3 linked regions of the Elephas maximus indicus genome follow. The protein of the gene in region 1 purifies or fractionates together with the protein of each later gene. This does not show direct contact. Links are inferred from orthologs where the notes say so. Each region holds a gene or a part of one and is shown in the gene's direction. Other genes may lie near its edges.

Region 1 (3,746 bases):
TCTCAGGGAACATCTAGATCAATTGACATAACGTAGTTCATCAAGAAAATGTTCTATAGCCCATTTTGGTGAGTAGCATCTGGGATCTTAAAAGCTTGCAAGTGGCCATCTGAGATACATCTATTGGTCCCATCCTGTGTGGAACAAAGGGGACTGAAGAAAACCAAAGATACAAGGAAAATACTAGCCCAAAGGATTAAAGGACCACAAGAACCAGACTCCACCAGCCTGAGCCCAGAAGAACTAGATGGTGGCTGGCTACCACCAGCAACCACTTTGACAGGGATCACGGAGGAAAATATAAAACAGAATTCAAATTCACCAAAAAAGACCAGACTTGCTGGTCTGACAGAGACTGGAGGAACCCCCGAGAATATGGCCCCAGACACTCCACTAACTCAGAACTCAAACCGCTCCCCGAGCACACTTTTCAGACAAAGATTAGACAGGCAGATAAATTAAAAAACAACACACTGTGAGGAACATGCTTCTTAGTTCAATCAAATATAGGAGACCAAATGGGCAACGCCTGCCCAAAAGCAGGACAAGAAGGTGGGAAGGGACAGGAGCTGGAAGAGCAGACACAGGGAAAACCGAGTGGAAAGGGGGAGCATGCCCTCACATTGTGGAGAATGCAACCAAAAAAGAAAAATAAATAAATAAAATGAACACGTATCTATTAAAATAAAAGTGGCTCTTCCGGCTTGCCCCACCTGCCCCAGCTCCCACTTTGGGAAACTGGGGTTAAGGCTGGGAACCAAGGACTGGTTCTTGTTAGGAGATCCTTGCCTTTTCAGCACCTCAGTTTCCTCATCTGTGCAACAGGGATAATCTCAGGACCACCCAGCCCAGGTTGTTTTCAGGATTAGATCCCAAAGTCGACCTCAGCCACTTAGTATGGCTCCTGGTAAGGAGTGAGCGCTCCATTAGGGTCGAGGTTATTATCATTATTAATAATTGCAGGAGAGGCAGATTTGGGGTAAACAGGGTTGGTGAGTGGCTTGGGGGAGTTAGGGAGGGTATTTTGGCCTGGGAGCAGATGGGATGGGGGCCTCGTGGGATGGGGCGCTTTCACGGGGCAGCGTGGGAGGCGGGGCCTCTGCTCCCCGTCCACGCCACCCCTGCCCTGCCCGGACCCCTGGCTTGGGCCGCGCACGGGTGTCTCCCAGGTCACCGGCAGGGAGTGTATCCCCGCGCGCTTCCTCCTTCCTCCTCCTCCCGGCGGCCTGCCGGGCCCCTCCTCCCCACTCGCGCGCTCCCTCCCTCCTCTTCCCCTCCCGGGGCCGCCGCCGCCTCCTCCTCCTCTTTCTCCTCCCTTTCTCTCTCGGTCTGTCTCTCCCGGCCCGGAATCCATTCCGGCCTGGGAGCCGGAGCGGCCAGGCCGCCGTCTGCCCGATACCCCTGCCGTCCGGCGGCCCGGGGGTCCGCCCTCCCGTGCGTCCGCCCGCCGGTGCGACCGTCTGCCGGCTGCCTCAGGTGAGAGCCCTCCGCCCCTCTGCGGGCCCCTAGTCCCGGCCGGCCTGAGAAAGCCCCCGCCTGGACCACCCCGGCGTCTGATCGCGGGGCCGCCGGGGCTCCTGCCCACCCCTGTCCCCCAGCCCCGGGCCGGGCCGCGATCCCGGAGCGCACGGAGGGCGCACCGGGACAAGCCCAGCGCGGCCTTTTGTTGTGATGCCGCGGAGGGAGGGGGCTGGGCGGGGGCGCTGGAGTCCTGGCCGTGCGGGGACCCCTCTCGTTGGCCCTTCCCCCGCGAACCCCCCGAGATGCAGGCGAGCCGGCCCGAGTCCCCAGGCCAGGTCTAGGCCAAATATGAAATCTGAGCCAGTCGGCGCCGCCTCTGGCCGCGACTACCCGGCCTGGCGCCCCTGGCCCGCGGTGGGGTGTGGGTGGGGGGGGGGGGCAGAAGGCCTGGAACGGGGGTTTGGGGGGCGCCAAGGAGGGAGCGCTAGGCCCAGGGCGCCAGGACCTCCTCGTCCTCGTGGGGCCTTAGGTCGGGCCTGGTGTCGCCGGCCTGGAATAAGGGGCTGGGCCAGGCTGGGCTTGGTCCCCGCTGCCCACAGCCCCCAGCGCTGCCCGCTCGGAAGTTGGCAAAAGTTTTGGGTGCCTACCTCCTGGCGGGTCCACCTGCCTGCCTGGGTGGGGGTGGGTTTGAGGCCAGGCTGGGGCTGCCACTCGCCCTGCTGTGTATCCTCAAGCAACTGCCTGTCCATTCTGAGCCCGGGACCTCATCAGTGGCAGATGGGCCTGAGTGGAATTGCTGGGCTGGTGGGAGAATGGATTGGAGTGAACAGAACTCAACTGTGGGGTATCAGTTCAGGGACTTGAGAGTGGGCACAGTGTGTGTGTGGCCCTGGGCAAGACTTCCTGGGCCTCAGGGATTCTGTCTATACAATAGGGGCAGTGGTCCCTGGGTCACCTGGGATGAGTCCAGGTCTAGCAACAATATAGCTGAGACCAGACCTGGCTTGAGGGTGGGCCTCGCTGGTCCTGTTGCTGACCCTCTTCTTGCCCCCTAGGGGGAGCACTGATTGGGAAGTCAGGACACCTGGGCTTCTTGTCTCCCTAAGTGACCTGGGCCAAGGGATTGCCCCTCTGAGTCACAGTATGAGGAATAGGGATGCTCAGGGGAAGATTCTATGCACCTCTGCCTGTAGGGGCTTGGCACGTAGTTGGTGCTCAATAAATGAGTGCTTTACAGAACGACTGCCTAAGAAATGAAGGTGGGAGGTAAGGTTGCTGGCCCAAGTGGGGCTCATCTCCTTGTGCCCAGAAGAGGGTGAATCTTCTGAAAAACCTACTCATAACCCCCTTGAGAAAGAAACAGCCCCAGCCCAGTCCTGCCACATAACAGCTGTGTGACCTTAAGCAACTCACGCTCCCTCTGGCCACAGTTTTGTCAACTTTAAAATGAGCCAATAATAATGGCAACTGAGTACCCTCTGTGAGCACTCACCCCTGTGAGGTAGAGTCTCTTTTTTTTCTCCAGTTTACTGATGGGGAAACAGACTCAGAGAGGGGAAATAATTGGCCAAGGCCATACGACTTGAAGCTGGAATTAGAACCCAGACCTCAGAGACCCAGTCTGGCTGCCGGGCACCCCTCCAGTGATGGGAGAGTGGAGGTTGCCCAGCATGGGGCCAGGCACAGAGCAGTGTTGGAAGACTATACTGATGAGTGATTGACTGGAAGCCACGAGGCCCTTTTGGGCCTGCATTGGTGATACTGTCTTTCCACCCAGAGAAATGATTTACAGTGTGTCACCTCTCTCAGCTGACTGCTTGCCTAGGTCCTCCTGTGTGAATCCTGGGCCTTTGCTCCTGAAGATGTCCCTGCCAGGAGTGCCATAAGCTGCTCATCTGCTCAGGCTCTTCAACGCTTAGCTTAAGGCCCACTTCTCCCAGCAAGGCCCCCTGGCTCTCTCCTCTTCCTCCTGGAGTAGGCATTATCCCCAGCACACAACCCAGAATCTTCTTTGGCTTGTTCCCTGATTGTGACCTGAGGGGGAGAGGGTCTGACTCCCACAAACCCCAGGGGTCAGGGTGGGGATAGCTCAGTGACCCACTGAGCTCTGCCCAGGGTGAGCACATGTAGCTGCTGGGAAAACCCCCCATCTCTTGGTCCCGAACCATGTATCATGGATGCTTGTTTGTCTAACCTTTTCACAAGAGTTGACCCTGTTTTCTCAAGCTTGCCCAGATATAAGCACCATGACCCCATATTGAGCACCTACTATGTACGAGGAGCTT
Region 2 (3,746 bases), on another chromosome or scaffold:
TCTAGGAACTCTGGCACTGAAAGCGTGAATGACACAAGGTAATGATGTCGTCACCAAGGGACGACAAGAATAGAACCCAAATCCCCTGACTCCCAAGCTTGTGTTTTCCACTAATTGTGCTCCCTTCTACTCATCGGAGAGCATCAAATGTAAAGCTTTGGAGAAGGGAGTGGACACAAATGAGCAAAGTCCACCAGGTGGAGACTGCGCTGAAGGTCCTACGGCATCACCTTTTGGCACTTTCCTTTTCTCTTGGCTGTGGAGATGAAAGCAGCAGCAACCACAAACCCCTGGGACCAAGAACTGGAACTAGGTACTGCCTACTGTGGTAACTCTCTTCCTCATTTTAGGCCTTTCTTTTTTCACCTTTCCCTTCCGACCAGGCCCTAACGATCTCTTCACCTCACTCCATTTCTATGTACCCTTCCTGCGGCCCCCTTCTTTGCACATTAGTGCTAGGTGTCCCATGTAATAAGATGTAGCTGCGCGGCGTCCGCCAGTCCTGCGGAGAGGTTGTAGGGGAACCTAGAGCCACACGCATTTTCTCCAGAAAATGAGTGGTAGCAAAGCATGATGTAAGTATGTTTCAACTGGTAGAAACTTAAGAGGTGGGAACGTAGGCATACACCAAGTCTGTTCTACTTGGGGCTATGTAGCTCACCACGACAAAGCAAAATTTCGACAATAAGAAGCAGAGTCTTTTCGTCTAGCTAGAGGATTCTAACAGGTCAACCATCCCCTGGCAACCTCCCACGGGAGGACGCTTTCCGGAGCGCCGATGTTTACGCTTTTCCTAGAACCGGTGGAGACTGACGTTCCCAGACCCTCGGGGCTTCTAAACCGTTACTCCGCCGCCGGGGTGGGGCCAGCCCAACGGCCAAGCCTGCGCAATAGGCCTGGCTGACTCCGGGGTCCTGCGCACTACAAGTCCCAGAAGGCAACGCTCCGAGGGGGCGGGAGGCCGCCTTACCTGCCGTGAATTCTTTCGGCTAGTACCGCTCTCCCCCTCCCGTGTTGCCATGGGTCTCCTTTCCACAGTTAAAGGCTACTTTCTCTTGAGGCCTATGAGGAACTGCCTTAGCAACTTCGACACTGAAGCTCTTCGCGTACTCGCTCGTTCTCCCTTCTGCCCAAACTATGCTGGGGAGGCGACAAAAGATAGCCCTTGGAAGCCAAAGCTAGGAGACTGGTTGCACTTCCGCCTTCCGGACTCCGGGGATAGCGCGCACGCGCCCCATGCGACTCCGGTGCAGTTGACTTCCGCTCCCACTGTGCCCTGCGAGCCGAATCATGGATCACACTGGTAAGGAGGCGGAGGCAGTGGGGGTCCCGGTTCCATGCCCCCTTGGCCGGTCTGGGATCAGTCGCCTAGCGGGCATAGAGGGCTTACGTTCGCCCCAAAGCACTGGGGTGTGGTGGTGAGAAAGAAATATCACAGATCTCTCTCCGTGCCCGGCCGGGGCCTGCTGCTTCCCGGCCTACTCTCCGGTGCAGTAGCTACAGCCTCAGTACCGGCAAAAGCCGCTTTTCCTCTGGCACTGCTGGGCTCCGACTCGGGACGGCGGGCTGCGCGGGCCTCGGGGGGAGGGGAGAGCGCTGGTTTTTTTTTTTCCCCTCATCCCGGGTGCTCTGAGCTGCGTTTGCGGACTGGCGGATAGATTCCAATTTTTAAGTGGAGGAAGCCTCTCTGCGCTCTCCGCTTCGGCTGGGAGTGGTTGGGCGAGAGTAGGTTGGAGACTTCCTGCCGTCTCAGTCGGCTTTGGGCGGGTGCTCCTGTCGTTATTGTCTCTCTCGTCCTTCGTGGGCTAGAGTTGGAGAAAGGAGTCGGATATAGTTTTCGTAATCATACTCGGAGCAGCTTCTACCTCTAAACCTAAAGCATGCCCCACGCTTTGGCTGTGGTCCTTATTCGTCATTTCGGACCATTTCCTAAGGAAAGCTTAAAATCAAGGAGTTCTCATCTCTTTCTCCAAGTAAGACTGGCTCCATTACTTTTTTATGTGTGGGGTTTTTTTTTTTTTTTTGGCTTTTGTTTCCATTGGTTCGTGAATGTTAAAATAAAGCGCACTCGAAGTTAGGAAGCGCTCCATGCAGTTATGTTAATCGTGTCACAGGTAGGGAAAAATACATTTTCCGGTCTAGGTATTAATTGGGATGTGTGTTCTCAATCATGAAATATTTGTGTGTGTTGTGTGTGTGTGTTTATTTCTAAGCCTCGGGTTGGAATGTTAAAACAAGGCTGAGTTCCTGCCATCACCTTGATTACATTCTATTGGGGGAAATAGTAAACAGACTTTCTAAAAAAAACTTAAAATATTTACAGATTATGAAGGTATTTTGAAGAAAGTAAACAGGTACTGTGTTAGAGATAAATGGGAGGAAACTTTAGAGAGGACGGTCAGGGAAGGTCTTTGTTGGAAAGGTAATATTTAAGTTGAGATTTGATAGATGAGAAGAATCCAACCATGAAGTAAGCAGAATGAAGAGTATTTCCATCAAGTAAGTACAAAGGCTCTGAGATTAGGAAAACTTAGAGAAGGCCAATTGGCTGAAGCCTACTTAACAAGAGGTAAATTTAAAGAGCCTTAAGATGAAGTTGGAGAGGAAGTCAGATGGTGTAGGACCTTAAAGGCAATGATAAAGATTTGAATTTTAAGTGCACTGTGAAGCTATTGGAAACCCTAGTGGTGTAGTGGTTAAGAGCTAAGGCTGCTAACCAAAAGGTCGGCAGTTCAAATCCATCAGGAGCTCATTCGAAACTCCATGGGGCAGTTCTTTTCTTTCCGTAGGGTCGCTATGAGTTGGAATTGACTCGACAGCAATGGGTTTCTGAAGCTATTGAACAGGTAGAGGAGGAATCTGATCTTGTTAAAAAATGTAATAGGCTGTTCTAGGAAGAAAGAGTTAACAGTGGGAGGCAAGGGTAGTAAAAAAACGATTTAGGAGATTACAGTAGACCAAAAGAGATGATGGCTTGGCTTAGCGAGGATGAATGGAAGTAGGTCTAGTCGATAAGTATTTTGGTGATGGAACTCAATGACATGCTCATAGATTGGTTTGGAGGTATATGAGAAAAAGGAGAAATGCCTAGGTTTCTGGTTTGAGCAGCTGGGTAGATGGTAGTGTCCATTATTGAGTTGGGGAAAACATGAGAGAAAAGTAGACGTTTTTTAGGGATAGAGGTGGGGAATGGAAATTTAGGAACAAGAGTTTGGTTTCATACTGCTAAAATTTGAGATGTGTATTGAAACATACAAGGGGAGATGTCACATAGGCAATCGGAGACCAGCGGAAAGATACGGGCTGAAAATACATATTTGAGACTCAATACCTTATATTTTAAGGCATGGGGATGGATGTGATCACTAAAGGAGAGCTAATATAGAAGAGAGAGGGTTCCACAACCAGGCTCTAAGGAACTCCAGTCTTTGAACAGTTCACTGAGTTGAAATTCAAGGATCTGGGTGTTAGAGTAGCAAGCATTGAATATCAGCAAAATATTACTCATTTGAACCTTTGGAATTGGGAATCCAGTCCCTTCCACAATTCAGAGGATGCTATATTAGAAAATTGTAATATGAATGGGTGTGTATCTGAGCATAGTAAGTCATCTAGCATGGAAATCTTCCCTAATGAGCTGATTACTTAAACAATTAGTTGCTACTCAGGTATTTCTTCTGCTTAATACTAGCATCTATTCTTTTAGATAATTTCTTTGTGAGTCAGTTTTCTTGATGTTTCATATT
Region 3 (3,746 bases), on another chromosome or scaffold:
TAAGTGTTTATTAGAATTGCAAGATAAAATACAGAACTCCCAGTTAAATTTGAATTTTAGATAAACAGCAAATATGTTTTTAGTATAAGACTGTCCTGTGTAATATTTGGAAACCCTGGTGGCATAGTGGTTAAGTGCTACAGCTCCTAACCAAGAGGTTGGCAGTTCAAATCCTCCAGGCCCTCCTTGGAAACTCTATGGGGCAGTTCTACTCAGCCCTATAGAGCCGCTATGAGTCAGAGTTGACTCGACGGCAGTGGGTTTGGCTTTTTGGGTTTATGCAATATTTGGGAGATACTTACCCTAAAAAAATTTCTTGTTTATGGGACTTTCAGAATTAACTGGATGTCCTGTATTTTCATTTGCTAAATTTGTGAAGCCGATTTTTGGTAAATATATAGAGCTGTGCAACTATCACCATAATCCAGTTTTAGAACATTTCCATCACCCCAAAAGTTCCCCCTTGCCCACTTACATTCACCTCCTCCCACAGTTCCAGGCAACCACTGGTCTGCTTTCTCCTCATAGATTTGGGGATGGCTATACTCTGGGTTGGTGGGTTTTAAACTTGGAAGGCGTACAGCCAGAATGCTGCTTAGAAATAAGGACGGCGAGACTTCTTCTCATGTGCTTTGGACATACTATCAGGAGGAACCAGTCCCTGGAGAAGAACATCATGCTTGATAAAGAGAGGAGGACCCTTAATAAGATGGAGTGACACAGTGGCTGCAAAAATGGGCTCAAACATAGCAACAATTGTGAGGATGGCACAGGACCAGGCACTGTTTTGTTCTGTTGTACATAGTGTTGCTATGAGTGGGAACCAACTTGGTAGTATTTAAACACAAAACCAAAAAAAAAACCAAACCCAGTGCCGTCAAGTCGATTGCAACTCATAGCGACCCTATAGGACAGAGTAGAACTGCCCCATAGAGCTTCCAAGGAGTGCCTGGCGGATTTGAACTGCTGACCCTTTGGTTAGCAGCGGTAGCATTTAACCACTACACCACCAGGGTTTCCATTTAAAATAACAACAACAAATATCTTGAAGTGGAACTACTTGGCTTGTACACAGCTAGCTTAGTTAAAAATCTAAGTATTTGCCTGATGAGTTTAGTTTCACTTCTTAAAGTGTAACGCACGGGAGACTGGCTGCCCAACATGGGGTTTGTCTTTTGCCATCAGAGCAGCCTCTGGCTTGCAGGTATGTGGATTATTTTCATCTCATTGTGTTTACAGATCACATGGGGAACCAGCCCTGGGGAGGCTGAGAGCCTTCCGGCCTTCACTGAGGGGGGCGCCCTTTCTAGGTCCCTGGGCCAGGGCAGGACAGGAGGTTAGATGGGAAGTCAGGCGACCATGTTACCGCAAATCCCAGGTTGGAGCTGCCTGCCGCAAAGATCTATCAAGATGCGGGGGTGCTCGGGCCTGTCCGGGGGCCATGGCACAGCGCTGCGGAGTATGTCTCTAGGGCTTCTTTTAGGTGGCCACCCAGCGCCAGCACCTCACCATAGCGCAGCAGCAGCTCCTCGGCGCTCTAGCCGGCCGCCGCTGTCGCCGCCCACTGTCCACCTCCGGGGGGCCATTTTTCGGCTCCCTCCCGGGGTGCTTCTCACCAGCGCTGGAGAAGAAGACGAGGCCCGCGGAGGGCTGCTGCTCTGTCACCCCCGCCCTGCTCTCGGAGCCTCCGGGGCGCGCTGCTGGGCAGGGGGCGCGCTGCTGGGCAGGCGGCCCGCCATAAGCCGGAACCCACCTTTTTGTTTTAAGAGAGGAGGAACTGTATATGGGGTATTTACAGTCACTTTTTGGCCCAGTGTGAATTTTTCGGCTTCCTGGAGTAAGTCGTAGGTTGCAGCCGCTGCCCACAAACATGGTCACCATCCCCTAGCCACGGTGAGAAGTATGTCAGGGGGCGCCCGGCCGAGCCCAAAGTCTGAGTCAGAACTCTCATAGCAATCTCTTTCGCATGTGCAAACAGTTCAAAAGACTTTTGTAAATCAGGCATTCTCAAAGCTGGTGCTGTCATCAACTTATATTTAATATTTTAAAGACTTGTTAGCATTCTTTTAGTGCATACTAAAGGTTCTCTTTCTTCCCCTTTCAGGGCCTCATAAAAAGTCTTTGCCAAGACTCTAAACCCGAGGATCCAGATTTGACAAAACCCAGCCATTCTTAGGAATCCTCTTAGCTGTGGCCTTTGGGCTGTCACCCTCATGATTGCCTCACTTCAATCTGGGAGAAGGTCTTGCTGTCCTTGAGAAATCTGGAATCTCAGATATTTAACTTGTGGGAGAGAAATCTGTGCCTTTTTCTCGGATAACCCAATACTCGCACTCTGCCAAGTGATTTAAAAATAATACAGCATTTTGGTTAGAGTCTTCTTTAGTTTCACTAAAACCAAAAAACCAAACCCAGTGCCGGGGAGTCGTTTCCAACTCATAGCGACCCTAGAGAACAGAGTAGAACCGCCCCATAGAGTTTCCAAGGAGCGTCTGGCGGATTCGAACTGCCGACCCTTTGGTTAGCAGCTGTAGCACTTAACCGCTATGCCACCAGGGTTTCCTTAGTTTCACTAGCCACCAAAATTTCGTGAACATATTATAAAATCAGACCTTGATTTGGTTTTAAAAATCTTAAATCCCTTGTCAAAATTTTTCTAAATATAGTGGGAGAATTTCTAAATCCCTGGATGAGAACTTGTCATGTAAGATGTTGTTTCACCCAGTAGCTGTATCAGTCCATTCAAAAGCAAATAATTGTTGAGACTGAGGATGTAAGGGGATGTGAAAGAATGTGTCTTTTAGATCTAGCACTGAAAACCATTTATATTGGCTGGGTATGGTGACAAGGAGGGTGTAGGGATTTGGGACTACTGGATGTACATCTTCTACTATTTGGTTAATTTTCCTCAGATCTTGTATAAATCGGTATTCTTTTGTTCTTGGTTCTATACTGTTCTTTTCTTCACATTCTCTGTCTCTCACTCATTCTCTTCTTCTCTAGCCCCCATATCATTTTCTCATCCATTTTTTTTGTTGTTTGGTCTCTATTATTGAAGACCTTCAAGGCAACTAGCGTCTGTCTTCGTGGTCGCCCTTCAGTGTTTACTCTGGCTGGAACTTTTCTCAAGGGATATTGCCCTGCCTGGTTTTCAGGGCCTCCCTTACGGAAAACTGTACCCTGTCAGGTACAAGAAGGGGAAACCACACCTGAAGCCGTGTTTCCACCGTCTGTCTCTTCCGTGTCTCTCCCTTTTGTTCCCCACGATGGACACGTATTAGAGTCTAGTCCCAACTCTGGCGGGAAGAGTGTATTCTCTTCCTCCAACTCTGTCCTCTCCCAGCAGCGGCAGTAAGGAGGAGGAGGAGCCATAGCCGAAACCAGAGCCCATCCCTCCAGGAAAGGGTCCTTGCTGGAAGAATCAGGATGCACTTTCGGCTCCATTTCACCTTGAAAAAGAACTTGGTTAGAGGGGTTTATATTCTGATATAGTGATATAAAAGCTTGAACATAGGAGACTTCAGCTCATTTTTTTGTCTTTTAAAATTGAGCTGAAAAACCATACCAAAAATCAAGGAACCATACTGTGGCCGATGTTCCTGACTTTTTTTAGCTGCTATTTATGTCAAACATTATTGTATAAAAACATTATTACTATTATTATTATTTTTTTTAGTCATGAGTTCATAGCTCTACCTTTTCTAGTTTGTTAGGATGCACCCCAGGAGGGATTTTGTAGGGATTGA

Evidence for each region.
Region 2: the proteins of SRC (region 1) and CBLL1 purify together in Homo sapiens (affinity purification with western blotting; 3 studies listed by BioGRID and IntAct, with this or other methods). This does not show direct contact. The link is inferred for Elephas maximus indicus from reciprocal best matches to the Homo sapiens genes SRC and CBLL1.
Region 3: the proteins of SRC (region 1) and PECAM1 purify together in Homo sapiens (affinity purification with western blotting; 3 studies listed by BioGRID and IntAct, with this or other methods). This does not show direct contact. The link is inferred for Elephas maximus indicus from reciprocal best matches to the Homo sapiens genes SRC and PECAM1.

The regions. Positions count from the first base shown.
Region 1 is NC_064843.1:32,209,928-32,213,673, reverse strand, and holds the start of SRC (proto-oncogene tyrosine-protein kinase Src), read left to right. Parts: upstream 1-1,101; 5' UTR 1,102-1,476; intron 1,477-3,746. UniProt on the Homo sapiens protein: Non-receptor protein tyrosine kinase which is activated following engagement of many different classes of cellular receptors including immune response receptors, integrins and other adhesion receptors, receptor protein tyrosine kinases, G protein-coupled receptors as well as cytokine receptors.
Region 2 is NC_064826.1:41,895,473-41,899,218, reverse strand, and holds the start of CBLL1 (E3 ubiquitin-protein ligase Hakai), read left to right. Parts: upstream 1-980; 5' UTR 981-1,290; coding exon 1,291-1,303; intron 1,304-1,313; exon of another isoform or gene 1,314-1,973; intron 1,974-3,746. UniProt on the Homo sapiens protein: E3 ubiquitin-protein ligase that mediates ubiquitination of several tyrosine-phosphorylated Src substrates, including CDH1, CTTN and DOK1. Targets CDH1 for endocytosis and degradation.
Region 3 is NC_064837.1:55,646,810-55,650,555, reverse strand, and holds the start of PECAM1 (platelet endothelial cell adhesion molecule), read left to right. Parts: upstream 1-1,117; 5' UTR 1,118-1,161; coding exon 1,162-1,204; intron 1,205-3,746. UniProt on the Homo sapiens protein: Cell adhesion molecule which is required for leukocyte transendothelial migration (TEM) under most inflammatory conditions.